Linked DNA regions of Anolis sagrei. The protein of the gene in region 1 binds, or shares a complex with, the protein of each later gene. Links are inferred from orthologs where the notes say so. Each region holds a gene or a part of one and is shown on either strand. Other genes may lie near its edges. The genes, in order: APOO, MICOS13, CHCHD3 and CHCHD6.

What was found.
Region 2: APOO (region 1) and MICOS13 share a complex: the UniProt entries of both Homo sapiens proteins name them as parts of the mitochondrial contact site and cristae organizing system (MICOS) complex. The link is inferred for Anolis sagrei from reciprocal best matches to the Homo sapiens genes APOO and MICOS13.
Region 3: APOO (region 1) and CHCHD3 share a complex: the UniProt entries of both Homo sapiens proteins name them as parts of the mitochondrial contact site and cristae organizing system (MICOS) complex. The link is inferred for Anolis sagrei from reciprocal best matches to the Homo sapiens genes APOO and CHCHD3.
Region 4: APOO (region 1) and CHCHD6 share a complex: the UniProt entries of both Homo sapiens proteins name them as parts of the mitochondrial contact site and cristae organizing system (MICOS) complex. The link is inferred for Anolis sagrei from reciprocal best matches to the Homo sapiens genes APOO and CHCHD6.

Annotation. Positions count from the first base shown.
Region 1 is NC_090023.1:86,752,095-86,758,921, forward strand, and holds the start of APOO (MICOS complex subunit MIC26), read left to right. Parts: upstream 1-3,819; 5' UTR 3,820-3,890; coding exon 3,891-3,959; intron 3,960-6,827. Other genes in the region: C3HXorf58 (uncharacterized protein CXorf58 homolog), read right to left, coding at 1-99, 287-381, 1,747-1,846, 3,635-3,705. UniProt on the Homo sapiens protein: Component of the MICOS complex, a large protein complex of the mitochondrial inner membrane that plays crucial roles in the maintenance of crista junctions, inner membrane architecture, and formation of contact sites to the outer membrane.
Region 2 is NC_090034.1:54,660,517-54,667,843, reverse strand, and holds the start of MICOS13 (MICOS complex subunit MIC13), read right to left. Parts: upstream 3,005-7,327; 5' UTR 2,929-3,004; coding exon 2,900-2,928; intron 1-2,899. Other genes in the region: hydroxysteroid 11-beta-dehydrogenase 1-like protein, read left to right, coding at 4,518-4,602, 4,973-5,103, 6,337-6,448, 6,633-6,724, 6,875-6,968, 7,240-7,327. UniProt on the Homo sapiens protein: Component of the MICOS complex, a large protein complex of the mitochondrial inner membrane that plays crucial roles in the maintenance of crista junctions, inner membrane architecture, and formation of contact sites to the outer membrane.
Region 3 is NC_090025.1:192,696,871-192,704,086, forward strand, and holds the start of CHCHD3 (MICOS complex subunit MIC19), read right to left. Parts: upstream 3,005-7,216; 5' UTR 2,926-3,004; coding exon 2,842-2,925; intron 1-2,841. UniProt on the Homo sapiens protein: Component of the MICOS complex, a large protein complex of the mitochondrial inner membrane that plays crucial roles in the maintenance of crista junctions, inner membrane architecture, and formation of contact sites to the outer membrane.
Region 4 is NC_090022.1:54,978,338-54,985,337, reverse strand, and holds the start of CHCHD6 (MICOS complex subunit MIC25), read left to right. Parts: upstream 1-3,990; 5' UTR 3,991-4,089; coding exon 4,090-4,179; intron 4,180-7,000. UniProt on the Homo sapiens protein: Component of the MICOS complex, a large protein complex of the mitochondrial inner membrane that plays crucial roles in the maintenance of crista junctions, inner membrane architecture, and formation of contact sites to the outer membrane.

The DNA.
Region 1 (6,827 bases):
GTTATTACTGTTTTCCCACTCATGTACTGGTTGCCTTGGTTTCCTGGAGTGAAAAATATCTTGAACACAATAAAAGGGGGGAAAACAATCCCAGCAAATCTGAAGGGAGGAAAAACACCAAGAGGTAAGATGATAGAACAGCTTATTTTTCATATTCAACCATTTTCATTTCATTTGCATTTAAAGGATGTATTTTGCAACTGTCTTAAATATTCCATTGAAGTCTAAAGTAAAAAAGACAGCCAAAATAATTACATCTTAAAATCCAAATGCAGTGTAATGTTACCTGAATCGGACTTTATACTGAATACTGGGTTCTTTAAGAAGTTCAGCCTCTAAAGGGCTCACTCTCTTCAAAATCTCATGGCTAATGCAGTGTTCCTGAAATAAATAGTTTTTGCTCAATTAATATGTAATAAGTTTTGTTTTTATTATAATTGTTATTGTCGTATTACTAGGAAATCCAAATGCTGAGTTTTTATAGCTTTATAGCAAAATGAAGCTACTGAGATGCAGGAGAGAGGTATCAGTATGTTCAGGTTTAAAATTGCAAAACATGGAAATAATAGTCAGGGAGGAAATAATAATATTGATCTACTACCTAGAACAGGTTTTAAGATAAGCAAACCCTGCCATCTACAGATAGTTCCAACCCACTGCTACTCTCTTGAGGGTTGGAGGTTTCACTTTTGTCAGGAAAGGAAGAATATGAAAATCACAAACCCTTGCGGATGTTGGGCCGAGGAATTATGAAATAATAGCAACAGGTAGTGGAATGCTTTTTAGCTGCTTTCATTTGCACAGTATCTGTGCCCAAGTCATTCCTGCAATACGCACATTCAGGGTAGCTTAGTAAAATACATACTATTTTTTTGGTGTCAGGAGCGACTTGAGAAACTGCAAGTCGCTTCTGGTGTGAGAGAATTGTCCGTATGCATGAACGTTGCCCAGGGTATGCCCGGCTGTTTTGATGTTTTACCATCCTTATGGGAGGCTTCTCTCATATCCCCACATGGGGAGCTGGAGGTGACAGAGGGAGCTCATCCGTGCTCTCTCCGAATTCGAACCTCCGACCTGTTGGTCTTTAGACCTGCTGGCACAAGGGTTTAACCCATTGTGCCACCGGGGGCTCCTAATACACTGGGGGCTCCTACATACTATGTGGGAGTGCCTTTGAAGATGGCTTGGAAACTTCAGTTGGTGCAAACTACATCAAATCCTTTATTACTACACTAGCACCACCACTAAGAGGTTACACAATCAGACTAGGGGATACAAGTTTGGAGTTTGCACGAACTATGATATAATATTGGTATTGTGTTTTTCAGCTTGTGCTTCTCTGCCTTCCGCATAAATTCATATTTCTGGCAGTAATATGTGTTTCTGGCAGAACAGTTCTATTGCTCCTCAAAAAATTCAGGATGCAGTAGCTCTTTGGCAAACTCTTCTCTTGATCTCTGGGTTATTATTTTCTGATGCCAAAGAACAGCTACAGAATGAGCTGTCTCATGCACAGTCCCAAGTTCCAGCTACAAATTTTAGTATTCATGCATATATCATCAGACATTGAAAGCAAAAAAAACCCCAAAACACAATCTTCTATTTAGTGTAGGAGGCATTCCTGTTTCCAATCCCCAGCCTAATTTTCATGCTCAGTGCATCTGCAAAACAGGAGGCCGACTTTGAAAACAGGGAGAGGGATAAAAAGTCAGATCTAGTCAGACATCACCAAGTATAAGAACCTACTGCTGCACGAATGGTGTGTTTCAGAAGTTTAAACAGTCTTTTCCTTATGTGAGTCCACCAGAATTTCTGAATAAGATTAACTGCTTGCTCTTCTGCAATCCTGTTGAGAGGAAAGCAATGCATACATTAGATAGGTGTTGTGCTATTTGAAAAAACACATACATAACAATTACTTGAACAAAAACATTTATGTCCACAGAGATTTGTAGACTGTACTCTAGTCACAACAGAATCAGCAGTCTATTCATAAGCTTAGTGCATCTATCTTACAGAGCCCTGCTGCCTAAGACTGGATCTACTAGGCTTGTGTGCAGGTCCATTTTGGCCGGTTTCCTTCTGCCAATCCGGCTTCTTCGGCTTGGTTGGATAGCTGTAACAGAACCACATGGCAGCCGATCACAGCTCCTCCTCCTCTTTTCGGGAGCACACGGTGCGCAAAGTGGCTGCCACTGCGTGCTCCTCACACAGAGTTTTCCTGTGAGCCCTGCCTGTTGGACCAATCAGAATAGAAGAACACCATGATGTGTCTTATACAAGCTGTGTCTACTTCTTTAGTCTCGTTGCTGAAACCCAGACCCCCTTGAAGGAAAGAAAGGGTCCCAGGAATGGAAAGGAGAGCCTCATAAGTTCCCCATTGCCTCCAATGGGCTGGATCTAGCCATATTTTTCGGGTGCGGACCTAAAAAGGCTATCTGGCTACCAGCCCGTTTTCAGGAGGTGTGCAAAAATGGGTATGGGGGTCTACCGGAATCCAGCCAGCAGAAACGATTTGAGGTTCAGCTGAAATGCACAAGCCTAGGATCCATACGATTTGGAACGGCATTATATGGTCAATGTAGACACACATTAAGCAATTACATATGTCTACATTGACCATATAATGCAGTTCCAAACGACATTATATGGCAGGGTAGAACCAGCCCTAATAGCATGGCTGTGAGCTGATTATCTCTATTCCAATAGATATGTGGACTGTCGTTAAGCAAAGATGGCAGATTGAAAGTCAAAGCCCTAGTCAAAGTAGACTGATTCTGACACTTGGGACCTGTTTGATATAATTTTAAAAACTTCCCTTCTATAAACAGGAAGGATATGGAAAGGTGCTTCAAAGATATCATTGTTCCGCTTGTACATATGTTTAGAAGTAGTAGCAAATATCCCATCAACTGTACAATTATTTGAAGGCACTTTGGAACTCCATTGCCACTGCTATGAGGGTGACAAAATGGCAACTACAAGAGTTAATAACAGGCAGCAGTGAACTGGGTTTTGCTGGATGCTGAATGGATACACACAACATGCAAGTGTGGAGAGGAGCAAACCACAGACCACCTACTACAATGCAACCTGAGCCCTGCCACATGCACAATGGAGGACCTTTTCACAGCGACACCAGAGACACTCCAAGTGGCCAGCTTCTGGTCAAAGGACATTTAGTATAATGCAAAGTTTTTTAACTTTGTTTGTGTTTCTAAATGAATTTTAACTGTATCCTCAATTCACTTCTGATACGATAAATAAATGGATGTTGTGGATGGCCTCCTGCTACTTACAGTGGCATAGAGACTCTCCAGGGTAGATGATCCAGAGAGATGCCCCCTTGAAACTGCAGGGCAGATTTCTGTGATCTTATCCTTCTATTTCTTTATTGAAAGGTAGCTCACCTATGGATTTTTTTTCACCTGCATTTATACTGCTACATAAGACGTGGAGACCATCCTTAAGGTAAAGATTTCCCCTTGAGTCATGCCCGACTCCCACCATTCCTCACAGCCTCAGGCCCAAAACACCTGGAGGGCCCAAGTTGGCCCAGGCCTAATATAGATCCATCTGGGGTCCCTTCCTCTTCCTCTGCCATCCACATGGAGAAGTCAAGGGCCAGGTTTACCTCCGCCTCCGATTGCTTTCGTCTTCTTCGTCTTCTTCGTCAGGAAGCACGATCCGAACATTGCTGAACATGCCTTCGCGCCGCCGCCGCCTTGGCCTGTACCAGCGTCTTCCCCTGGTTGCCTAGACAACAGGACGCGCCACTGGGCCGGAAATGATGCCACTTCCGCCTGCGCTCTCCCCGCGGCATGTTTCGAAGGGCGCCCGTGTGGCGCCAAACATGGGCCTTCCGGGTACCCGTACGCGGCGCTTGGTGAATGACGTCATCGTCGCTGCGCCGTCATTCACCAACGGTGCTGTCATTCACTCGCGGGGATATGTTCAAGGTGAGAAAGTTTTCCCCGACGTTGTTTTGAGGGAGAGAGCGGGAACATGCATGGGATGGCTTGCTTCCCCGCGGGGAGGTTCTGGCCTTCTTCGAAAAGAGGTCGCGGCGATGTTTGGCTCTTTTTTGTAGCGTTGTCATGGAAACAGCTTAGGAAAAAGCGTGCGAGGGAGCTCCCAGTGTCTTGGAAGCGCAGAAATAGCTCATTTGGCGCGAGGAAGAAACACTTCTAAGCCCAGAGTTGAGGAACCCTTATCAGAAGTGTTTTGGATTTCGCAATATCTTTGTGTGTATGTATATGTGTGTGTGTTTTGGAAAATAGCATTCATAACCTTTTGGAAAACACCTTTTGAATGATCCTAACCTTTTAGAAAAGCACGACCTTTCAAAGACCCTTTAGAGTAGAACCTTCTCTTGTGGTATACAACCAGATATAATTACTCAAGGTAATGGTTTCAGTTGTTAGACTGAATAACCTGTTGTCTCAGATCTGTTAGGAAATCAGAGATTTGCCAGTGCATACAAAACAGCAATACTTCAGAAGTGTTTTTCATTGCCCAAAAATATATACTCTCCCATAAATGAAATTAGATCTGCCCCCTCCCTCCTGACCTTTAGGAAGCTAGTGAAAACCTGGCTTTTGCAGAATGTTGTTTGAGACCGGCAATCGACTAATGGTACTGATCACAATATATGGAATGGACATACTGATTGAGTTGGATACGATTTTATCTTGGCGAACAGCTTCTATGTAATGTTATGTAATCTTTGTAATTTTTACATGTAATTGGTAACTTAATGTTGTGTATTATGTCTAGATTTTCAGTGTTAGCATTGAATCTTTGCTGTTAGCCGGTCTGAGTCCCTCTGCAGAGGTAGAGAAGATCGGGATATAAAAGTTTTAAATAAATAAATGAATAAAACAACTTGTTTTATGTCATGCACTCGAGAGACAAAAATGAAGTACTGGGTTGTTGTAGGTTTTTCCAGCTGTATGGTCATATTCTAACGTTTTGCCTTCATCATTAAATCATGTGAAGTCTGTTGGAAACTAGGAAAATACAACCCAAAAAACCTACAACAACCCAGTAATTCCAGCCATGAAAGCTTTCAACAATACTAAAATGATGTGGACCAGGGTCCCTAAAACTAATGTCCAGGTGCCGGATGTGGCCCTCCAAGGTCATTTACTGTCCCTCGCTCAGGATCAACCTAAGTCTGAAATGACTTGAAAGCACACAATAACAACAACAATCCTATCTCATTTGCCAAAAGTAGGCCCACGCTTGTCATTGAAATACCAATAAATTTATATTTGTTAAAATTGTTCTTCATTTTAATTATTGTGTTGTTTTAAAGTGTCTTATGCAGTACAAATAAGATATGTGCAGTGTGTATAGGAATTCATTCATGTTTTTTTCAAATTATAATCTGGCCCTCCAGCAGTTTGAGGGACTGTGACCTGGCTCTCTGTTTAAAAAGCTTGAGGACTCCTGATGTGGACTTTGATTTAAAAACATATTTGGTTTACTTACAACCTTCATGTGTTCAGCATACACAGGTACAAAACTTACCAGTCTAGTTTCAGATGTGTCCCCGGCTATGGAACTCCCTCCTGGTGAGATCAGGTTGGCCCCCTCTCTCCTGTCCTTTAGAAGAATGGTAAAACCTTGGCTGTGGGACCAAGCTTTTGGGTCAGGGCAATAAAGCGGCAATAGGAAAGATGATCAGGCCAATGATTTGACACGGATGACTAGGACGGTTATAAATGGTGTATTTTAATATTTTGATAAATATTTTTAAATATTTATTTATTGTATGTCTATCTGTGTCCCGGCATTGAATGTTTGCCGTGTATATGCTGTGCTCTGACCTAAATCCCCTTCGGGGTGAGAAGGGCGGAATAGAAATGTTTTACATAAATAAATAAATAAATAAATAAATAAATAAATAGATAGATAGATAGATAGATAGATAGATAGATATTATATATAGGTATAGGTATAGATTACATATCTTGGAGATGGGGCCCAAGTCTAAACTCAAAAGTCATTCGTCTCATCATACTGTCATATAAATCATACTCTATTACAAGTTATAGCTCATGATATGAATCTTATATACATTTCTTTTAAAATTTTGTGTATGAAACAACATGTGTGTACATTGAGCCATCAGCAATCAGAGGTGCCACCCATGTGAAGAATCTAGGAGCATTTAGGATTTCTAAACATTTGTTAGGATGAATCAGAATGTCTTGTGCATTCAGACACACATCCACATGTATATAATCATTTACACACACACACACATAGTGCAATTACTGTACATACTTTATAAATAGAAGAATAGCAAAGCAGTTCTCTGCTCGCAGGCTTACAATCTTATTCAGACATGATGCAAAAAGAAAAGGGGATGGCAGTCTAGGAGGGGATAGAGGCCAGTGAAGTGGCCTTTGGGATGAAGGATTGGGCCTTACCTCTTTCTACCGCTCATGTCTTCCCACCCACTAATTCTTTCTCTTTATATAGGAGCTGGGTTTCTGAGTAAGGGGTGTTCAACCAATAACACCTTTGTTAAGGCTATATCTGAATGTCATATGGTGACTGTATATATGCACACAGATGAATATGTCCAAACAGACACACAGACAGACTCATATAATACTGACCAACACTCATTTTGCTGCCTCAAATGTTATCCGTCTTTCTGGGTATATTTGACCTGCAACTTCAAAAAACGACACCAGTTTCCTCTTACCAGTTCTGGTTTCTGAGATACAGAACATATGCCATCAACCAATTGCCATCTGCTTGCCCATAGAAAACCATAAGAACCATATTTACGAAACTAGAACTGATGTAGTCTA
Region 2 (7,327 bases), on another chromosome or scaffold:
TGTGGGGTTGCCTTTGAAGACTGTTTGGAAGGTTCAAGTGGTCCAACGGGTGGCAGCCAGATTTCTCACCAGAGCAGGGTACAGGGAGCATACAACCCCGCTGCTGCGTCAGCTCCACTAGCTGCCAGTTCGCTACCGAGCACAATTCAAAGTGCTGGCTTTGGCCTATAAAGCCCTAACAGTTCTGGCCCAGCTTACCTATCCACATTTATCTCCCTCTATGAACCATCACAGAGGCTAAAATGTTCCAGGGAGGCCCTGCTCTCGGTCCCACCTCCATCTCAGGCGCAACTGGTGGGGATGAGAGACAGGGCCTGCTCAGTGGTGGCCCCTCGGCTATGGAACTCCCCAATAGAATCAGGTCAGCCCCCTCCCTCCTGACCTTAATGAAAAAAACTTACACATGGCTTTGGAACCAAACCTTTGACCAGCAATGGGAGCAGTGCATAAGTGACCACGAATTAATGTGACAGATAAATGGAACGGCCTTGGATTATGATTTGGATGGTGTGATTTTAATTCATATTTTAAACTGCTTGGATTTTAATTGTCTTTGTTTATGTGTATGGCATTGAATTGCTACCTGTTGTAAGGCCGCCCAGAGTCCCCTTCGGTTTGAGAAGGGTGGGGGATCAATTGTAGTAAATAAATAAATATGCAATTGATAAACTCTGTATAGTATTGACTTGATATTCCTATTGAAATGCAGTATACATGAATTAGTAATAACACATTAACTAAGACAAAAACATTCTACATGTATTTTAATGTTTTCTTTAAAATATTATTTTCCATTGTTGCCTGTTGCTTGAGAGTTAACTGAGGTCCCTTCCACACAGCTAAATAAAATCCCATATTATCTGCTTTGAACTGGAATATATAGAACTGGGCTCAGACAACCCAGTTCAAAGCAGATATTGTGGGATTTTCTGACTTGATATCCTAGGTTATATGGCTGTGCGGAAGAGTCCTAAGTGCCTACAGTTAAAAACTGTATCCCAGAATCTGATCCCAGGTTTTCTGTTTATCCGAGATTAGCTGGCAGTGCAGACTCATATAAACCAAAAACCTGGGATCAGATCATGGGATAAAGGGCCTGTCTGGAAAGGCCCAAAGGTATAGTATAGAAAAAATATTATTATTAAATAGATAATTTGGATTATGAACGAACATTACATTTTTATTTATATAGATATATATACATATCTCATGAGCATTCCAAAATACGATACTTGGAATACAACCTTCAAAACAGTTCAAAACAAAGAGACTTCTGCCCCTGCAATATTATTAGTAATATTACATATAATATATAATATACAATTATTCTACTGTTTTATCATTAGTACTATATTGTATTACATTATATTATAATACTAGCTGTCCCCTGCCATGGGTTGCTGTGGCCCAGTCTGTGTTTATGTCATAAAATCATAGAGTTGGAAAAGACCTCGTGGGCCATCCAGTCCAGTCCAGCCCCCTGCCAAGAAGAAGGAATATTGTATTCAAAGCACCCCTGAGAGATGGCCATCCAGCCTCTGTTTAAAAGCTTCCAAAGAAGGAGCCTCTACTACACTCCAAGGCAGAGAGTTCCACTGCTGAACAGCTTTCACAGTCAGGAAGTTCTTTCTCATGTTCAGATGGAATCTCCTTTCTTGTAGTTTGAAGCCATTGTTCCGCGTCCTAGTCTCCAAGGAAGCAGAAAACAAGCTTGCTCCCTATGACTTCCTCTCACATATTTATACATGGCTATCATGTCTCCTCTCAGCCTTCTCTTCTTCAGGCTAACCATGCCCAGCTCTTTAAGCCGCTTCTCATAGGGCTTGCTCTCCAGACCCTTGATCATTTTAGTCGCCCTCCTCTGGACACATTCCAGCTGTTTTAAATGAGTTTTTAAAGAGTTTTTAATACTGGTAGCCAGATTTTGTTCATTTTCAGATTCAACCACCATGTCAGACTACACTGAGAAGCCATTGAAATCCACAAGCATGTGGACAATTTCAACAAAAAGGAGGAGACCATGAAAATGAACAAAATCTGGCTACCAGTATTAAAAAAACTCCAAAATTGCAACAGCAAAACAGCAGAGAGGAAACAACCAGGCACATCTTAATACCTCTCAACAGAACATTTTCCCAGGCTCAGCCAGGCCTTCAAATGCTAATGAAGGTGGTCAGCTGAAACATTCACACCTAGCTTCAGCAGAGAGCTCTTTGCCCCACCCCAGCCATTCCACAGATATATAAACCCATTGTCCTAATTCCAACAGACCTCACTACCTCTGAAGATGCTTGCCATAGATGCAGGCGAAACGTCAGGAGAAATGCCTCTAGAACATGGCCCTATAGCCCGAAAAAACCTACAAGAACCTAGTGATTCCAGCCATGAAAGCCTTGGACAATACAATATAATATGTATGTACAATATGTTATATTATATTATTAGCATTCTAAAATAAGATACTTGGAATACAACCTTCAAAACAGTTCAAAGCAAAGACTTCGGCCCTTTCTACACTGCCATACAAAATCCAGATTACCTGCTTTGAACCGGATTATCAGGCAGTGTAGACTCATATAATCCAGTTCAAAGTAGATGATGTGGATTATCGGATTTGATAATCTGGATTGTATGGCAGTACAGAAGAGGCCTTAGATTGCAATAATGGTAACAGTTTCCCAAAAGAGAATTGGATTCCACTATTTCAAAGAGATTTGGGATTGCAATATTTCAAACGCAGAGCATTACAGTTGGAAGGGCCATCTAGTGCAACCCTCTTGCCATTAAAGCTTGGGTGCTGTAGTTTTGCAAGGCCTGCCAGACTACTGATGCCAAGATCCCATTGCATTGAGCCCTTCTTTCCTGATTATGAATCTAGAAAACCGCCCTCCCGACTCACTTGATCACAGGGACGAAGCGAGACGCCATGACAGCAACGCCTTCGCCGGCCCAAGGGCAGCAAAGCGCCCGCCCGCACCGGTTTTTCCCCCCTGCAGCAAAAGCCCATTGGCTGACCTACTCTCGCGAGACTTTTCGGGAACTGCCGCGGTTGAGAGAAATGGAGGCCGCCATTGTTCCTGAGAGGGAGGGCGGGGGCTTTTTCTTTCTTTTTCACCAACTATAGGAAATTGAACTTAATGTGAATTGAATGAAACTGAATGAGTGTAGGGCGAGGCAACATTCCCTCAAAACATGAAGGCTTTTTATTATGTTTCTTGTTCTAACGGTAACCAATGGGCCCGTTGTGCGCATGAGCAGGGAGGTTGCCGTGCGCATGCGCGAGCGGAATCATGTTTTCCCCCACTCTGTCCACTCTGTTCCCTACTTCCTTAAGGTCGTGCCACGTTTAAGGTCGTGCCAGTCTTCCTGGGATAACATCGTTTTCAGTCTTCTGTTAAACTTTTTGTAAACAAGGAGGAGAATCCAGAATTTCGGTGCAGCTATTGAATTTTAAAGTATTTAAAATTCTTTATACCATAAAGTAGAAATATGGCGTTATGATTAACTCGTTCATGTTGATCTTATATAGACAGGTTTCTGCGTTTTGGGTTTTCTGTTAAGTGTTTCCTGAGGCCTTGAGGGCGAATCTACACTGCCAAATAATGCAATATAGACGCCTATCATGCAGTTCGATGCATTATATAGTGGGTGTACTCTCTCTTGTACAGTTCAGTGCATTCTGTGCAAAGTGTAGACCCTATATTGCAGCTCAATGCATTCTATGGTCAGCGTAGAGTCCCAAAATATAGCTTAAGCAGTGGTTCTCAACCTGTGGGTCCCCAGATGTTTGGGCCTTCAACTCCCAGAAATCCTAACAGCTAGCAAACTGGCTGGGATTTCTGGGAGTTGTAGGCCAAAACACCTGGGGACCCACAGGTTGAGAAGCACTGGCTTAATGCATTCTATGTTCAATGTAAAGTCCTATAGTACAGTTCAATACATTCTATGGTCAGTGTAGAGTCCTATAATGCAGTTCAGTATATTCTGTGGTGAGTGTAGTCTCCTGTTACATAGTTCAATACATTATATGGTAAGTGTAGACCCTATAATGCATAGTTAGACTGCATGAGAGTAGATTCTTATAATGTAGTTCAGTGCATTCTACTATCAGCGTAGAGTCCAGTAATGCAGTTCAATGCATTATATGGCCAGTGTAGATTCCTATAATGTAGTTCAGTATATTCTATTGTCAGTGTAAAGTCCTATAATGCAGCTCAATGCATTGTATGGTCAATGTTGACTCCTATCATACAGTTAGACTGCATTCTATGAGTCTACGCAATCCATGTAACGCAGTTCCAAGCTACATTATACAATCAGTGCGGAAGGGGCTCCTTTTGGCAGTCTTCCATGGAGCTGAGTCCCAGTTCAGCGACTCTCTCTCTCCTCAAAACACACCCGTTGGCCTGCAGGGCGTGGGAGGCACCCGCCCTTTGTATCCCCTGATCCGTTTCTGACCCTTGCCATCATTTTCAGGCTTGAATATCTATTTGTGGTGACACTTGGAGAGAAGGGAGATGAGGGCCGCTGGGCTTCTGCTCTCGGTCCTTGGCATCGCAGCTGTTTGGGTGGCCTTCTCCTGGAGAGACACCTTCGAGCCAGGTAGGAGCTGCAGAGGAACGGGTGGCCATCTGTTGGGAGGGTTCGGATTGTGTACCCCGCCTGCCTGGCACAGCCCATGGGTTTCCCTGCCAACTCTAAGACTCAATGAAGGCCGACACTTGTTGGCAGGCAAAATACCGTATATAAACAAGTATCAACCCTGCTGGGTGAAGAGGTGAGGATCTTGGCGGGAAGTCGTGGGGCTGAAACAAGGGCATATTTCAATCCCATGACTTCCCACCAGGACCACTTGAGTATAAGCCGATGGGGGGCATTTTCAGGCTAAAAAAGGGCTGAAAATCTTGGCTTATACTCAAGTGTATACGGTACTCTACTTTCCCCTTTGGCCGTATTTCTTTTTCTCTCCCAGACAGCCTTTCCGGGGCCCGGGTTCTCTTGACTGGCGCCAGCGATGGGATCGGGGAACAAATGGCCTACCATTACGCCCGGTTCGGGGCACAAATTGTCCTCACCGCCCGGAGGGAGGCCATGCTGCAGAAAGTGAGAACACATCCAGATTCAAAGTCTGGGATTGGGGAAAGATAGAGCTTGGGTTGAGTTCTAGAGCCTCCATGCATACCAATATCTGGTTCTAAGGCCCCCATGGATTCCAGTACCGGATTGCGTCTGGTTTGAGGACTCCCAAGAATACCTATGTTTAGTTAGGTTTGGTCCTAGGACCGCCTTAGATATTAATGTTCGTGTTGGGTTCTAGGAACCCAGTGGATACCTATGTCTGGTTGGCTTAGTTCTAAGGCCTTTAGAGGAATCAACGTTTGGATAGAATTAACATGCTCTAAGTTCCTCTCTCTCGTTCCTCTCATGGATGGGGTTCATGGACTCATGTTCTAAGAATCAAGTGTTTTCCTGGTTTCCTGTATTGCTTCAAGAATCAAGTGGTTTCATGGATTCATGTATTTTTGGATCTTGGGTATAGCTGCCATGTACTTTTGATCTTCTCGGTTGCTGTGTTCTTTCAAGAGTCCAGTTTAAAGATCTTGCTTACATTCTGGTCTCGTGGATTATTGCTTCCAAGTCTTCCTAAGTGCCTTGTGTTACATGGATTATATTTTGTATTGACTTCTTATCATTTTTGCTGAAGCTACATTTATACCTTAAGAAACTGCTTTGCTTATAACTGAGCTCTGGGGTGTGAGATTGGTTTAAAGGCGCCTTTCCAGCCCTGCTGTGTGACAGTTGGGTTGGGTTCTAGAGCTCCAATAGATACCAAAGTCTATTTGAGTTGGGTTCTAGGTCCCTGTGGCTATTGATATCCGGTTGGATTGGGTTCTAGGGTTCCCAGGAATACCAATATCTGGTTGGGTTGTGTTCTAGGGTTCCTATGGATACCAATACCTGATTGGGTCTGATTCCAGGACCCCCATAAATACCAGTCTCTGGTTGGGTTAGGTCCTAGGGCCCCTATGGATACCAATACCTGATTGGATCCAATTCCAGGACCCCCATGGATACCAATATCTGTTTGCATTGGGTATTAGGACCCTCGTGGATCCCCAAATCCATGGATGCTCAACTCCCATTATATGCAGTGGTGAACAATACGCATAAAATGGCAAAACTAAGGTTGAATTTTGGGGTTTTTCAGAAATACTTTCAAGCCATGGATGGTACAGCGAACCAATTGTACTAGGAACCATCCCTATCGCACATGGCTGGATTTCTCCCGGTTGAAGAAGTCCATAAATGGTGGTTGTTCCTTTTGCTTTTGTCCAGGTGATGGCCAAATGCCTGGAGCTGGGAGCCAAGAAGGCCGTCTACTTCGTCGCAGATATGGCTTCTTCCGCAGAGCCAGAAAAGCTGGTCCATTTTGCCTTGGAGGAACTCGGTGGGTCCTCAAACCCCAAAACTACAACTCCCAAGTGATGTCAAAGTGCAGTACTTCTACGCGATTCTAACTAACCCTTAGGTTCACACTGTATGGATGAATTGGGATAACAAGTTGGACCTGTTTTTTCATCGCTTTCTGCCAATGACAAATCTGCTTTTCTTTCCCATCCTTCTTTTTTTAGGGGGCCTGGATTTTGTGGTCCTCAACCATGACGGATCGAGCCCTTTTGAGATGTGGGCTGGAGACATGGACCATCTGCGTTGGCTCATGCAGGTGCGGCTGGGATTTGGGAGGGCCCTCCAAAGGCCATCCAGTCCATCCCCCTTCTGGAAGGCACAATCCAAATCCACCCAACAGAATTATTATTACAATTATTATTATTACTAATATTATTATTAATATTAATATTCCTCTCCCTTCCAGGTGAACTTCTTCAGCTATGTGGCCCTCGCCTCGGTGGCTCTCCCTCCCTTGGCAGAGAGCAAGGGTTCACTAGTGGTGGTCTCTTCCCTGACAGGTGAGTGAGTGCCCTTGGGAAACTACTGCTCCCAGAGACCGGCCACCAATTAGCCAATGCAAGGAAACAAGGCTTGTCCCGTCCTCCTCCATGGGACTTCCTTCCTTCCTTCCTTCCTTCCTTCCTTCCTTCCTTCAAAGATGGAGACATGGCTCTCCTGTCCCCTTCTCTCATCCTTCCTTAATCGCTTCACTAGGTTATTCTTCTAAGCAAAGCACAAAGAATAACCTCCTCCACTTTGATGCAGTATTTAGTATTTTTTCCCTCTCAGGAAGAGTGTCCACCCCCTTCGTGGCTCCTTACTCGGCCACCAAGTTTGCCCTGGAGGGCTTCTTTGGCTCCTTGCGCCACGAACTGGT
Region 3 (7,216 bases), on another chromosome or scaffold:
TGAAGTACTTTGGCCACATCATGAGGAGACAGCAAAGCCTAGAGAAGACAATTATGCTGGGGAAAGTGGAAGGCAAAAGGAAAGGGGAACGCCCAAGGGCAAGATGGATGGATGGCATCCTTGAAGTGACTGGACTGACCTTGAAGGAGCTGGGGGTGGTGATGGCCGACAGGGAGCTCTGGCGTGGGCTGGTCCATGAGGTCACGAAGAGTCGGAGACGACTGAACGAATGAACAACAACATCATCAACCAGTTCTGGATAGGGTTTCACTCCCTCTGAAAGACTATGTTTGTAGTCTGGGAATACTCCTGGATCCATCTCTACAAGCAGACAGATGTGATGGATGATACACTAGCTGTGTACCTTCCAAGATTTGGAGGACCTGAAAATCATGGTAACACCACGCTAAAACAGTGGATGTGGCTCTTAATGAGACATGCCGCATTATCACGGGGTGTCTGCGCCCTACACCACTGGAGAAATTACACTGTTTAGCCGGTATTGCACCACCTGACATCCCCCGGGGAGTAGAAACAAATAGTTAAAGGACCAAGGCAGTGACATCTTTGGCCCACTCCCTGTTGAGATACCAGCCAGCACACCAATGCCCTAAATCAAGAAATAGTTTTCTAAGATCTACAGCAGTGTTTCTCAACCTTCCTAATGCCGCGACCCCTTAATACACTTCCTCATGTTGTGGCAACCCCCAACCATAACATTACTTTCATTGCTGCTTCATAACTGTAATTTTGCTAATGTTATGAACTGTAATGTAAATATCCAAAATGCAAGATGTATTTTCATTCACTGGACCAAATTTGGCACAAATACCCAAAATACCCAAATTTGAATACTACTGGGATTCGGCAAGGGATTGATTATGTCATTTGGGAGTTGCAGTTACTTTCATTCCTAGTTCACCTACAATCAAAGAGCATTCTGAATTCCACCAAACTTGAACCAAACTTGGCACACAGAACTCTCATGATCAACAGAAAATACTGGAAAGGTTTGATGGGCATTGACCTTGAGTTTTGGAGTTGTAGTTCACTTGCATCCAGAGAGCACTGGGGACTCAAACAATGATGGAACTGGACCAAACTTGGCAAGGATACTCAATATGCCCAAATGTGAACACTGGTGGCATTTGGGGAAAATAGACATTGACAGTTGGGAGTTGTAGTTGCTGGGATTTATAGTTCGCCTACAGTCAAAGAGCATTCTGAACCCCACCAATGATAGAATTGGCCCAAACTTCCCATGCAGAACCCCCATGACCAACAGAAAATACTGTGTTTTCTGATGGTCTTTGGCGACCCCTCTGACACCCTCTTGCGACCCCCTCTGGGGTCCCGACCCCCAGGTTGACAACCACTGATCTACAGAGATATTCGCAGGAAAACCTCAGCAAGCAAGTCCAAAAGTGGCAGGCTAAAACCTGGAACCTCAAACCATGGCCGATATCAAATGAGAGACTCCCTTCTGGCCACACAGAAGAGTGGGCGACTTGGAAGGCGCTGAACAGAGTGCGCTCTGGCATGGCGAGATGCAGAGCCAACCATAAGAAATGGGGCCAGAAAGTGGAGTCCACGACATGCGAGTGTGGAGAAGAGCAAACCACTGACCACCTGCTGCAATGCGACCTGAGCCCTGCGACATGCACAATGGAGGACCTTCTTGCAGCAACACCAGAGGCACCCCAAGTGGCCAGCAATTGGTCAAAAGACATTTAATAGTATACCAAGTCTGCAAATTTTGTGTTTTGTTTGTTTGTTTGTTTTAATGCAAAAAATGTGTCCAGAGGAGGGCGACTAAAATGATCAAGGGTCTGGAGAACAAGCCCTATGAGGAGCGGCTTAAGGAGCTGGGCATGTTTAGCCTGAAGAAGAGAAGGCTGAGAGGAGATATGATAGCCATGTATAAATATGTGAGAAGAAGCCACAGGGAGGAGGGAGCAAGCTTGTTTTCTGCTTCCCTGGAGACTAGGACGCAGTGGAACAATAGCTTCAAACTACAAGAGAGGAGATTCCATCTGAACATGAGGAAGAACTTCCTGACTGTGAGAGCCGTTCAGCAGTGGAACTCTCTGCCCCGGAGGATGGTGGAGGCTCCTTCTTTGGAAGCTTTTAAACAGGGGCTGGATGGCCATCTGTCAGGGGTGATTTGAATGCAATGTTCCTGCTTCTTGGCAGAATGGGGTTGGACTGGATGGCCCATGAGGTTTCTTTCAACTCCTTGATTCTATGATTCTATGATTCTACAGGGCAGCAGAAAACAAGCTTGCTCCCTCCGCCTTATGACTTTCCCTGACATATTTCGACTGTTTGAAGTTTGGGAGCACTCCTGGATATCCCTCCAAATATCAGGCCAGGCAGATGCAATGGCTGATACGCGATAGCTGCGTCCCTTCCTAGATTTGGAAGACCCAAAGATAGTGGTAACCTCAAGGTTGGACTTCTGCAATGCGCTTATTGGACAGGTGGCAAGCTCTTTAACCTCAGCTGCCCAAAAACCAAAACCAAGGTCACAACAACATCTGTTATAGAACTCCAATATGCTGATGATAATGTGGTGTGTGCTCAATCAGAAGATACACAGACCTCTCTAAACGAAAATCTTGGCCTCACACTGCAGCCAAAGTACTCTTTCAGCATAGGTTGTTAGGAACTGTGGGAGTTAAAGTCCAAAACACCTGGAGGGAAGGCCCAAGTTGGACCCTGCCTGTTCTCCATGCTTGACCCCTCTGAGGTCAACAGGGGCCTACTCTTTTTCCTCTCCTCTTCCTCCTCTGAGGCCTAGCTCACTCAGCTTAAGTCCAGCCAACCCGTCTTCCCTCTCACCCGGACGCCCTTGACCACCGTGATGTTCTCGTTCTCGTCCGCCTCGAAGGTGACCCTCCTTGGGGCGCTGCCTCCGCCGCCCATCCCGCTCCAGGCTCGCTCACCACCAGACTAGGCCGCAAAAGCCTCCCTGGAGGTGCCCTATAAGACGCCACGCCCACACCCGTCGCCCATTGGCCATCCCCCTCTTACGTCCCGCCTCCGCCGCTCTCCGATTGGTGGGGAGAACGGTTGCCCTGAGCAACGGGCCCTGCCCCGGCCTGACCAAGTGACAGGCGGCGTGGAAACTTTTTCTCTTTCCCTCTTCTCTCTCAAAGAGCATGGGAACTGCCTCTCCCAGCGTGCAACGCGGCAAGAATTGGTTACAAATGCCCGCCGCTTGTCGCAATGCACGCTGGGAAATGTAGTTAATAGAGCAGTGTTAGCATTCTGGGGCCATAATGAAGCATTTAGCCTTACTTGAAGTGTCATTGCACATTATTACAAAGTTTTGAGACTTTTGGGAATTGTGAAATATCTAATCCTTCTCTGCCACAAGGAACTATAAATCCCAGAATTGTATATCCTTGGCCCAATTGGTGCAAAACAGGCCTATTGTTATATTATCATTGGTAATAATAATAATTAATTATTAATAATAATACCATATATATATATATATATATATATATATATTAATAATAATAATACCAATGATAATATAACAATAGGGCTGAGGTTTTTCGGGCTTACTTTACTTACTTACTTACTTAGGCGATCCCTCGTTGGACAAGTAAGATGGTCTTCCATTATGGATTTCCTTGTGGGTCCGTATGTGGCTGTGGAGCCCTATTCTTGCTCTACATCTTCTTCCGCAGTGGGGGCATTGGTTTCCAGGTGGAAGGCGGTCCTGGTCGGGGTTGGCTTGACGCGCTTTCCTCCTGGCACGTTTCTCTCTTTCACCCTCCACTCGTGCCTCCTCAAATTCTGCAGCACTGCTGGTCACAGCTGTCCTCCAGCTGGAGCGCTCAAGGGCCAGGGCTTCCCAGTTCTCAGTGTCTATGCCAGAGTTTTTAAGGTTGGCTTTGAGGCCATCTTTAAATCTCTTTTCCTGTCCACCAACATTCCATTTTCCGTTCTTGAGTTCAGAGTAGAGCAACTGCTTTGGGAGACGGTGGTCAGGCATCCGGACAACGTGGCCGGCCCAGCGGAGTTGATGTTGGAGGACCATCGCTTCAGTGCTGGTGGTCTTTGCTTCTTCCAGCACACTGACGTTTGTCCGCTTGTCTTCCCAGGAGATTTGCAGGATTTTCCGGAGGCAGCGCTGGTGGAAACGTTCCAGGAGCTGCATGTGACGTCTGTAGACAGTCCACGTCTCACAGGCATAGAGCAGGGTTGGGAGGACAATAGCTTTATAAACAAGCACCTTGGTCTCCCTACGGATGTCCCGGTCCTCAAACACTCTCTGCTTCATTCTGGAAAATGCTGCACTTGCAGAGCTCAGGCGGTGTTGTATTTCAGCGTCGATGTTGACTTTGGTGGAGAGGTGGCTGCCAAGGTAGCGGAAATGGTCCACATTTTCTAATTTTACGCTATTAAGCTGTATTACTGGCATTGGAGAGGGATGGGCTGGTGACTGCTGGAACAGCACCTTGGTTTTCTCAATGTTCAGTGACAGGCCGAGCTTCTCATATGCTTCTGCGAAGGTGTTTAGAGTGGCTTGTAGATCTTCTGAATGCGCACAGACGACATTGTCGTCAGCATACTGGAGTTCTATAACAGCTGTTGTTGTAACCTTGGTTTTGGCTTTCAGTCTGCTGAGGTTGAATAGCTTGCCATCTGTCCGATAGATTATTTCCACTCCGGGCTACAACAATATATTAATAATACTATATTAATAATAAAAATGATATATTATTAATAATTATTATTTTTATTATTATTAGTGTATTATTAATAATGTTATCAATAATATAATATTATTATTAACAACATCAAATCATCCCCTGGGCAACATCCTTACAGACGGCCAATTCTCTCACACCAGAAGCGACTTGCAGTTTCTCAAGTCGCTCCTGACACGACAAAAAAAATCAACAATATAATAATAACATATTATTATTACTAATAATGACATATTATTATTAATAACAATATACTATTTTACATGATGATATATTATTATTATTATTCATGATTATGATGGCACACCAGGAAGATCTAAGGAGAAACTAAATGTGTCTGGCTATTTTCCCAGTGACCATCGGTATGCCCTAAATTACTATAATTCCCCCAAAATAAAACTCTACAAACAAGATTAAGTTCAACAATTGTTTACTAAATAATCAAGGTATAAAAGTACAGTTTGATTAGTGAAATATAAACTCTGATGTAACAACTACTATAATTTCTATAACTATAAGCTATGGGGAATGTATGACTATAACTATTCTATGAGGTAAATATAACTACTCTAAAATCTATAAACTTTGGCAAATATTATCTATTCTTTATTACAAATACTCTAAGGCAAATATATATTATCTATGATCTATCTATCTATAACTATCTATCTATAAGCTTTGGCAAATACTATCTATTCTATGGCAAATATAACTATTCTATGAAATGTGTTATCTATGAACTCTCTATCTATAGGGCAAATATATATTATCTATGATCTATCTATCTATAACTATCTATCTATAAGCTTTGGCAAATACTATCTATTCTATGGCAAATATAACTATTCTATGAAACGTGTTATCTATGAACTCTCTATCTATAGGGCAAATATATATTATCTATGAACTACCTATCTATAACTATCTATCTATAAGCTTTGGCAAATTCTATCTATTCTATGGCAAATATAACTATTCTATGAAACGTGTTATCTATGAACTCTCTATCTATAGGGCAAATATATATTATCTATGAACTACCTATCTATAACTATCTATCTATAAGCTTTGGCAAATACTATCTATTCTATGCCAATATAACTATTCTATGAAACGTGTTATCTATGAACTCTCTATCTATAGGGCAAATATATATTATCTATGAACTACCTATCTATTACTATCTATCTATAATGTTTGGCAAATTCTATCTATTCTATGGCAAATATAACTATTCTATGAAACGTGTTATCTATGAACTCTCTATCTATAGGGCAAATATATATTATCTATGAACTACCTATCTATAACTATCTATCTATAAGCTTTGGCAAATACTATCTATTCTATGGCAAATATAACTATTCTATGAAACGTGTTATCTATGAACTCTCTATCTATAGGGCAAATATATATTATCTATGAACTATCTATAACTATCTATCTATAAGCTTTGGCAAATTCTATCTATTCTATGGGAAATATAACTATTCTATGAAACGTGTTATCTATGAACTCTCTATCTATAGGGCAAATATATATTATCTATGAACTATCTATAACTATCTATCTATAAGCTTTGGCAAATTCTATCTATTCTATGGGAAATATAACTATTCTATGAAACGTGTTATCTATGAACTCTCTATCTATAGGGCAAATATATATTATCTATGAACTACCTATCTATAACTATCTATCTATAAGCTTTGGCAAATACTATCTATTCTATGGCAAATATAACTATTCTATGAAACGTGTTATCTATGAACTGTCTATCTATAGGGCAAATATATATTATCTATGAACTATCTATCTATAACTATCTATCTATAAGCTTTGGCAAATACTATCTATTCTATGGGAAATATAACTATTCTATGAAACGTGTTATCTATGAACTCTCTATCTATAGGGCAAATATATATTATCTATGAACTACCTATCTATAACTATCTATCTATAAGCTTTGGCAAATTCTATCTATTCTATGCCAATATAACTATTCTATGAAACGTGTTATCTATGAACTCTCTATCTATAGGGCAAATATATATTATCTATGAACTACCTATCTATAACTATCTATCTATAAGCTTTGGCAAATTCTATCTATTCTATGCCAATATAACTATTCTATGAAACGTGTTATCTATGAACTCTCTATCTATAGGGCAAATATATATTATCTATGAACTACCTATCTATAACTATCTATCTATAAGCTTTGGCAAATACTATCTATTCTATGGCAAATATAACTATTCTATGAAACGTGTTATCTATGAACTGTCTATCTATAGGGCAAATATATATTATCTATGAACTATCTATAACTATCTATCTATAAGCTTTGGCAAATACTATCTATTCTATGGGAAATATAACTATTCTATGAAACGTGTTATCTATGAACTCTCTATCTATAGGGCAAATATATATTATCTATGAACTACCTATCTATAACTATCTATCTATAAGCTTTGGCAAAT
Region 4 (7,000 bases), on another chromosome or scaffold:
CTGGTAGAGACTTTCGTTTATGTGCATCCGTTTATTTAGTGGTAGAAGCTTTGCAGTAATTAAATGATTATATATTGTGAGAAAGCAAGGAACTGCTTCAATTCTTCCTATCTACTAGATTTTAGAATGCTGAAGGGAAATTATGGAGAACTGCAATGGCAGAATAGTAGAATTGTAGAGTTGGGACGACCCGCAAAGTTTAGTGTGAAATCTTGAATTTTACTCACAAAGAACCCCTATTTTGTGCACTTTTACAGCATGTGTTTGTTCTAGAGTTGTTAGGCCAAGACTATCCCAAGTTCTGAGACTTCAGGGTCTAAACTTGAGTCCTAGGGCTGATCCCTTGGTGATGTGATTAAACTTAAGCATCAGATACAGTGTACAGCATTCAAATTCTAACAAAATTTAAACATTGAAAAACTGTGCACACACACACTCTTTGAAGGCAACCTTCTCACCCTAAGATTCATCACCCTTACCCTGAAAACTAGAGGATGGTCTAGGCCAGGCGTTCCCAAACTAAGGCCACAGACTGGACGCAGCCCTCCAAGGTAATTTACTGGCTCCCACCCTAAACGACTTGAAGACACACAACAACAATTCTAATTAACTTTGAGTCCTCTTGGACAACAAGTTAAACATGAGCCTACAATGTGATGCAGCAGCAGCAGCAGCCAAAAAAAAAAAAAAAAAAGCCAATGGGATTTTGGCCTGCATCAATAGGAGTATAGTGTCTAGATCCAGGGAAGTCATGCTACCCCTCTATTCTGCCTTGGTCAGGCCACACCTGGAATACTGTGTCCAATTCTGGGCACTGCAGTTTAAAGGAGATGTTGACAAGCTGAAATGTGTCCATAGGAGGGAAACTAAAATGATCAAGGGTCTGGAGAACAACCCCTATGAGGAGCGGCTTAAAGAGCTGGGCATGTGTAGTCTGCAGAAGAGAAGGCTGAGAGGGCCATGTATAAATATGTCAGGGGAAGTCATAGGGAGGAGGGAGCAAGCTCGTTTCCTGCTGCCCTTGCAAGTAGGACACGGAACAATGGCTTCAAACTATAGGAAAGGAGATTCCACCTGAACATTAGGAAGAACTTCTTGATTGTGAGAGTTGTTCATCACTGGAACTCTCTGCCCCAGAGTGTGATGAGGGCTCCTTTTTTGGAGGCTTTTAAGCAGAAGCTGGATGGCCATCTGTCGGGAGTGCTTTGATTAGACCACACCTCGAATGTTGTGTCCAATTATGGGCAACACAATTGAAGAGAGATATTGACAAGCTAGAACGTGTCCAGAGGAGGGCGACTAAAATGATCAAGGGTCTGAAGAACAATCCCTATGAGGAGCGGCTTAAAGAGCTAGGCATGTTTAGCCTGAAGAAGAGAAGGCTAAGAGGAGACATGATACCCATGTATAAATACGTGAGAGGAAGTCACAGGAAGGAGGGAGCAAATTTGTTTTCTGCTGCCCTAGAGACTAGAACACGGAACAATGGCTTCAAACTACAATAAAGGAGATTCCATCTGAACATGAGGAAAGTGTGAGAGTCATTCAGCAGTGGAACTCTCTGCCCCGGAGTGTGATGGAGGCTCCTTCTTTGGAAGCTTTTAAACAGAGGCTGGATGGCCATCTATCGGGGGTGGTTAGAATGCGACTTTCCTACTTTTTGGCAGGGGGTTGGACTGGATAGCCCACAAGGTCTCATCCAACTCTATGATTCTATGAGGTGTTTTTGAGTTGGGGAAAGGAAACCTTAAGCCCCCCTTGAGCTAAGAGAACTGTTTCACAATTCATTGGCCTGAGTTTTCAGGCAACTCACTCCTTGCTTTGCTTCTGTGTTTATACAGTGGACATTCAGAAAATAATTTCACTATATTATTTCACGGGATTGTGGCGCAGCTGGCTGAGTGTCAGCTGCATTAAGATCACTCTGACCAAAAGGTCATGAGTTCGAAGCCAGCCCGGGCTGGAGTGGGTGTCCAGCCATTGTGTAGCCCGTTGTCGACCTTTGCAACCCGAAAGACAGTTGCATCTGTCAAGTAGGAAAATAAGGGACCACCTTGTGTGGGAGGCTAAATTTAACTAATTTATGAGGCCATAAAGAAAGAAGACTCCGGGGAATGCGGAATGCGGAAGAACTTCATCGGTGTCGTTGATGGACGATGAAAAGCAGCAGCTCCCCTGGCGGCCAGAAAAAAGTTAAATAGCCTTGGTGTATTTGTGTGTTAAATGTTGTTTGTCAAACTGGCATTGAATGTTTGCCATATATGTGTTGACTGTAATCCGCCCTGAGTCCCCTGCGGGGTGAGAAGGGCGGAATATAAGAACTGTAAATAAATAAATAATAAATATATCCCCATGGCCTCCAAGCACACATAATTCTGTACTACAAAAGGCATGTGAAATATGTTTCAAGGTAATAAAAAGGATATGAGTGGGATCCATATTTTCTTATATATGGCAAAAAATCTATTAACATCAAAAGATCTATTCGAAATTTGACTAGTTCTGAGCCAAGCCCTCTGTTGCTTGTAAATCTATATGCTTGTTTGTTTTTCTGGCAATCAGCTTGACAAGCTTGTTTTGGCTTAGAAATGTATGATCTTTGTTAAAATGGGAGACATGATTTACCTTTGTAATTTAAACATGGGTTTTCTCTTGTTGATTTAATCCAATTCTACCTGAGAGAAATAGATAGCCCCTTTCAGTAGTCTAAATTCAAATAATTGTGTTTTATTACATTTACATGTTTTACAAACAGAGGCGGGTTTCCTTACTGTGGTTACTATGGCAATGCAGAGCAAAACCCCTTTATAGATTTTGTTTTAAAATCCTTCCTAAGCCTACAATTAGCTTTTTCAAGTTTTTAAACAGATAACAACTGTTCTATTATGTTGCATGGGAGGTGGCAAGCCTTCATTACAGCATAATTGCAAAATATTTGCAGCTTGCAAGCACTTTGCATTCTGAGAGTTGACTTTTTATTAATTATATTGGTAGATACAATTATACATGGTTCTTTCCCTCTATTGCTGTCAGGAAAAAAAAGGATATTTGACAGGAAGCATATTATTCATGGAGCCCCCGTAGCACAGTGGGTTAAACCACTGAGTTGCTAAACTTGTTGACCAAATGGTCGCAGGTTAGAATGATCTGCGACTAAAATGATCAAGGGTCTGGAGAACAAGCCCTTTGAGGAGCGGCTTAAAGAGCTGGGCATGTTTAGAATGAAGAAGAGACGGCTGAGAGGAGATATGATAGCCATGTATAAGTATGTGAGAGGAAGTCATAGGGAGGAGGGAGCAAGCTTGTTTTCTGCTGCCCTGGAGACGAGGACGCTGGAGAAAGGAGATTCCATGAAAGGAGACTAGGACTTGGTGCAATGGCTTCAAACTACAAGAAAGGAGATTCCATCTGAACATGAGGAAGAACTTCCTGACTGTGAGAGCTGTTCATCAGTGGAACTCTCTGCCCCTGAGTGTGGTGGAGGCTCCTTCTTTGGAGGCTTTTAAACAGAGGCTGGATGGCCTTCTGTCGGGGGTGCTTTGAATGCGATTTTCCTGCTTCTTGGCGGGGGTTGGACTGGATGGCCCATGAGGTCTCTTCCAACTCTAGGATTCTATGATTCTAAACAAATGCCATGTCCCAACGAGGATGTATTGCTTTCCTTTCTCACGCTAAAATGTATGAAAACCGACCATTATGAAGCGACTCCAATGGGGAGAGTTTGTTGAGAGTCTCAAACTATCTGGCCAGCCTCAGCTTTGCGGCAAATGGATATGTAAACCGTATGATGCTTAAAAGAGGCGCAGCGGGCTGCCCAGAGCCATTGCCGCGCCACCGCTTCTGCGCGCCCTTCCGGGCAAATGTGGTCCTTCTTGGAGCATCCTTGACAGCGGCGGAGGGGTGAGAAAGACTACATCTCCCAGCGTGCCTCGCGGCCGGCTTCCAACACCGCGCCGCGCGATTGGGCGCTTCTTTAGCGGTGGCCAATCGGGGGAGGCTTTGTAGGCCGGTGGAGAAGAGCGTGGTGTCTTTGAGTTTGTGTGGACGGACTGGGCTTTTCTCCTCTTCTGCCTCTGCGGTGCCGGCGTGATGGGCGGCAGCGGGAGCAGCCAGGGCAGGAGGAAGGTCTCCTTCGAGCTGGACGAGGAGGACCGCGTGCGGGTCTTGCAGGGCATCCGGGTGAGTGAGGGAGGGAGAGGGCTTCCTTGCCTGCCTGCTGACCTGACGCCTTACCTGGGCCAACTTGGGCCCTCCAGGTGTTTAGGACTTCAACTCCCACCATTCCTCACAGCCTCAGGCCCTTTCCTTTCCCCCCTCAGCCGCTTAAGCTGAGGGGGGAAAGGAAAGGGCCCGAGGCTGTGAGGAATGGTGGGAGTTGAAGTCCCAAACACCTGGAGGGCCCAAGTTGGGCCAAGCTTCTCTACACTGTAGAATTAATGCAGTTCTGCACCACTTTAACTCCCAAGGTTCAATGCTGTGGAGCCCTGGGAGATGTAGTTTGGCAGGGTCTTTAGCCTCCCTTGCCAAAGCGTCCTGGTGCCTCGCCACACTTACTCACTCACTTAGACAATCCCTCATACCTTGAGGATGATGGTCCTCCAGATGTGGTGTCTTGGTTGTTGGGTCTGTAGGTGGCTGTGGAGCCCTATTCTTGATTCGCATCTTCTCCCGCAGTTTCGCCCTCCGTTCGTGCCGCTTCGAATTCCGCAGCACTGCTGGTCACAGCTGACCTCCAGTTAGAGCGCTCCAGGGCTTTCCAATTCTCGGTGTCTATGCCCCAGTTTTTAAGGTTGGCTTTAAGCCCTTCTTTACATTTCTTTCTCACCACTACAACTCCAGTGGTTCCATGCCATTGAGCCAAGGCAATTAAAGCGTCTAATCCAGGCATGACCACCTGCTGCAATGCACCCTGAGCCCTGCTACATGCACAATGGAGGACCTCCTTGCAGCAACACCAGAGGCACTCCAAGTCGCCAGATACTGGTCAAAGGACATTTAATCAACTATCAAGCTTGCAAACTTTGTGTTTTCTCTGTTTGTTTGTTTTGTTAAAAAATGTAATACAAATGTCTGGTTGCTCCTGATACGATAAATAAAATGGACAAATTTGGGCCCTCCAGGTGTTTTGGGCTTCAACTCCTGCAATTCCTGTTGAAAATGTCAACCTTCTTTAATCTTCCACTAGTAATTTGTTTTGTATATGATTTATTTATTTAGTACATTTCTATACTGCCCCTCTCTCAGCCTTCCGGTGACTCGAGGCGGTTTACAAAGCAAGAGTTCAATGCCTCCAAGGACACGATTACAATATACAATATAAAAACATTATATCAAACATTATAATAAAACATAATTCAATCGATAATCCTTAAAACAATGTCCAGTTCCGCCATATAGTTATTCCATTATTTTCAAATGCCAGCTCAAAAAGCCATGTCTTAAGATGCTTTCGGAATGATAGGAGCGAAAAAGCCGATCTAATCTTCCTAGGAAGGGCGTTCCATAGCCGTTCCATCCTGTGATAATGCGGCATGTCTCATTAACAAATGTGGATCAAGAATAGGGCTCCACAGCCACCTACGGACCCACCACCAAGACATCACATCTGGAGGACCATCATTCTCGACGTACGTGGGATCGCCTAAGTAAGTAAGTGTGGTGAGGTACCAGGACTCTTTGGCAAGAGAGGCTAAAAACCCTGCCAAACTACATCTCCCAGGGCTCCACAGCATTGAGCTTTGGGAGTTAAAGTGGTGCTGAACTGCATTAATTCTACCTGGGCCAATTTGGGCCTTCAAGGTGTTTTGGACTTCAGCTCCCATCATTCCTCACAGCCTCAGGCCCCTTCCTTTTGCTTACTGTATTGTGTGCGCGCGCATGTATATGTGTGTGTTTTGGTATGCAGCTTTCCCTTTACTCTATGTTCCTTGAAGTTGTGGGTGGGGCTGCAGGCCACATGATTGGATCAGGGACTACCCTAAGGTCAGATTCCATTTTAGAACATAGAGAGGCCATGAAACTTTGAACTGTTAAGAGCAAACTAATGTTGCTTTTGATTCTAAGAAAGATGCCCTGTGTTATCAGCACAGAGAAACCAATTCAAAACCTATCTGTATGTAACTGGATTACAATTGGATTACGTACCAGTATGTAACTGGTACAAGTTAATGTACCAGTATGCTGAATATATGAAGATTATAAGTAAACCAAATATGTTACTTTTGACAAAGTCTACTTTATTTTTGTCTCTTGAGAGCATGATATAGAAACAAGATGTTTCGTGGGAGAATAGATATTCTTGGGCACTGAAAAGAATACTTTTGAAGAACTGCTGTATTTTGTGCTTTGGCATATCTGTTTCAAACAGATCAGAGATAACCAGGTTATCAGTCCACTTGCATATGTACATGTGGTCATATACCATTGAAGAGAAGATTTTACTTAAATGAGGTTTGGGCTCTTTGGAAGATCATACTTTTACAAAAGGTTATGATTTTCAAATGGTTGTGATTACCATTTTTCTTCAAAAGGCTATGGAGATGCTGGTTTTCCAAAAGGTTATGATATCCAAAATATCATGCCTTTCCAAAAACCCCTAAGAGCCATAGGAATTGTGGGAGTTGGAGTCCAAAACTCCTGGAGGGCTAATACAACATCCTGCCACTCATACACACACTGCTTTAAACTGCCATAGCTCCATCCTACAGGATTTTAGGATTTGTTATTGTTTTGAGAATGGTCACCTAGAGAGTTCTAGTGCTACACAAAACTGCAAATCCTGGGATGCCATACAATGCAACTAGGCAGTAATTTGGGATTGTGTGGTTTAGGGATTACTTTGGCTGCAGGACACCTGCCTGTAGTGCTTGGATCCTCGTGTTTGATCAGAAGAATCCCTCAGCCCTCGTTTTCCTCAGTATTGTGTAGCATCTTCCTTCTGTGATCTACTTAACAATAAGGACTTAGGGCCTTCCGAATATGACAATTAGGACAATATATC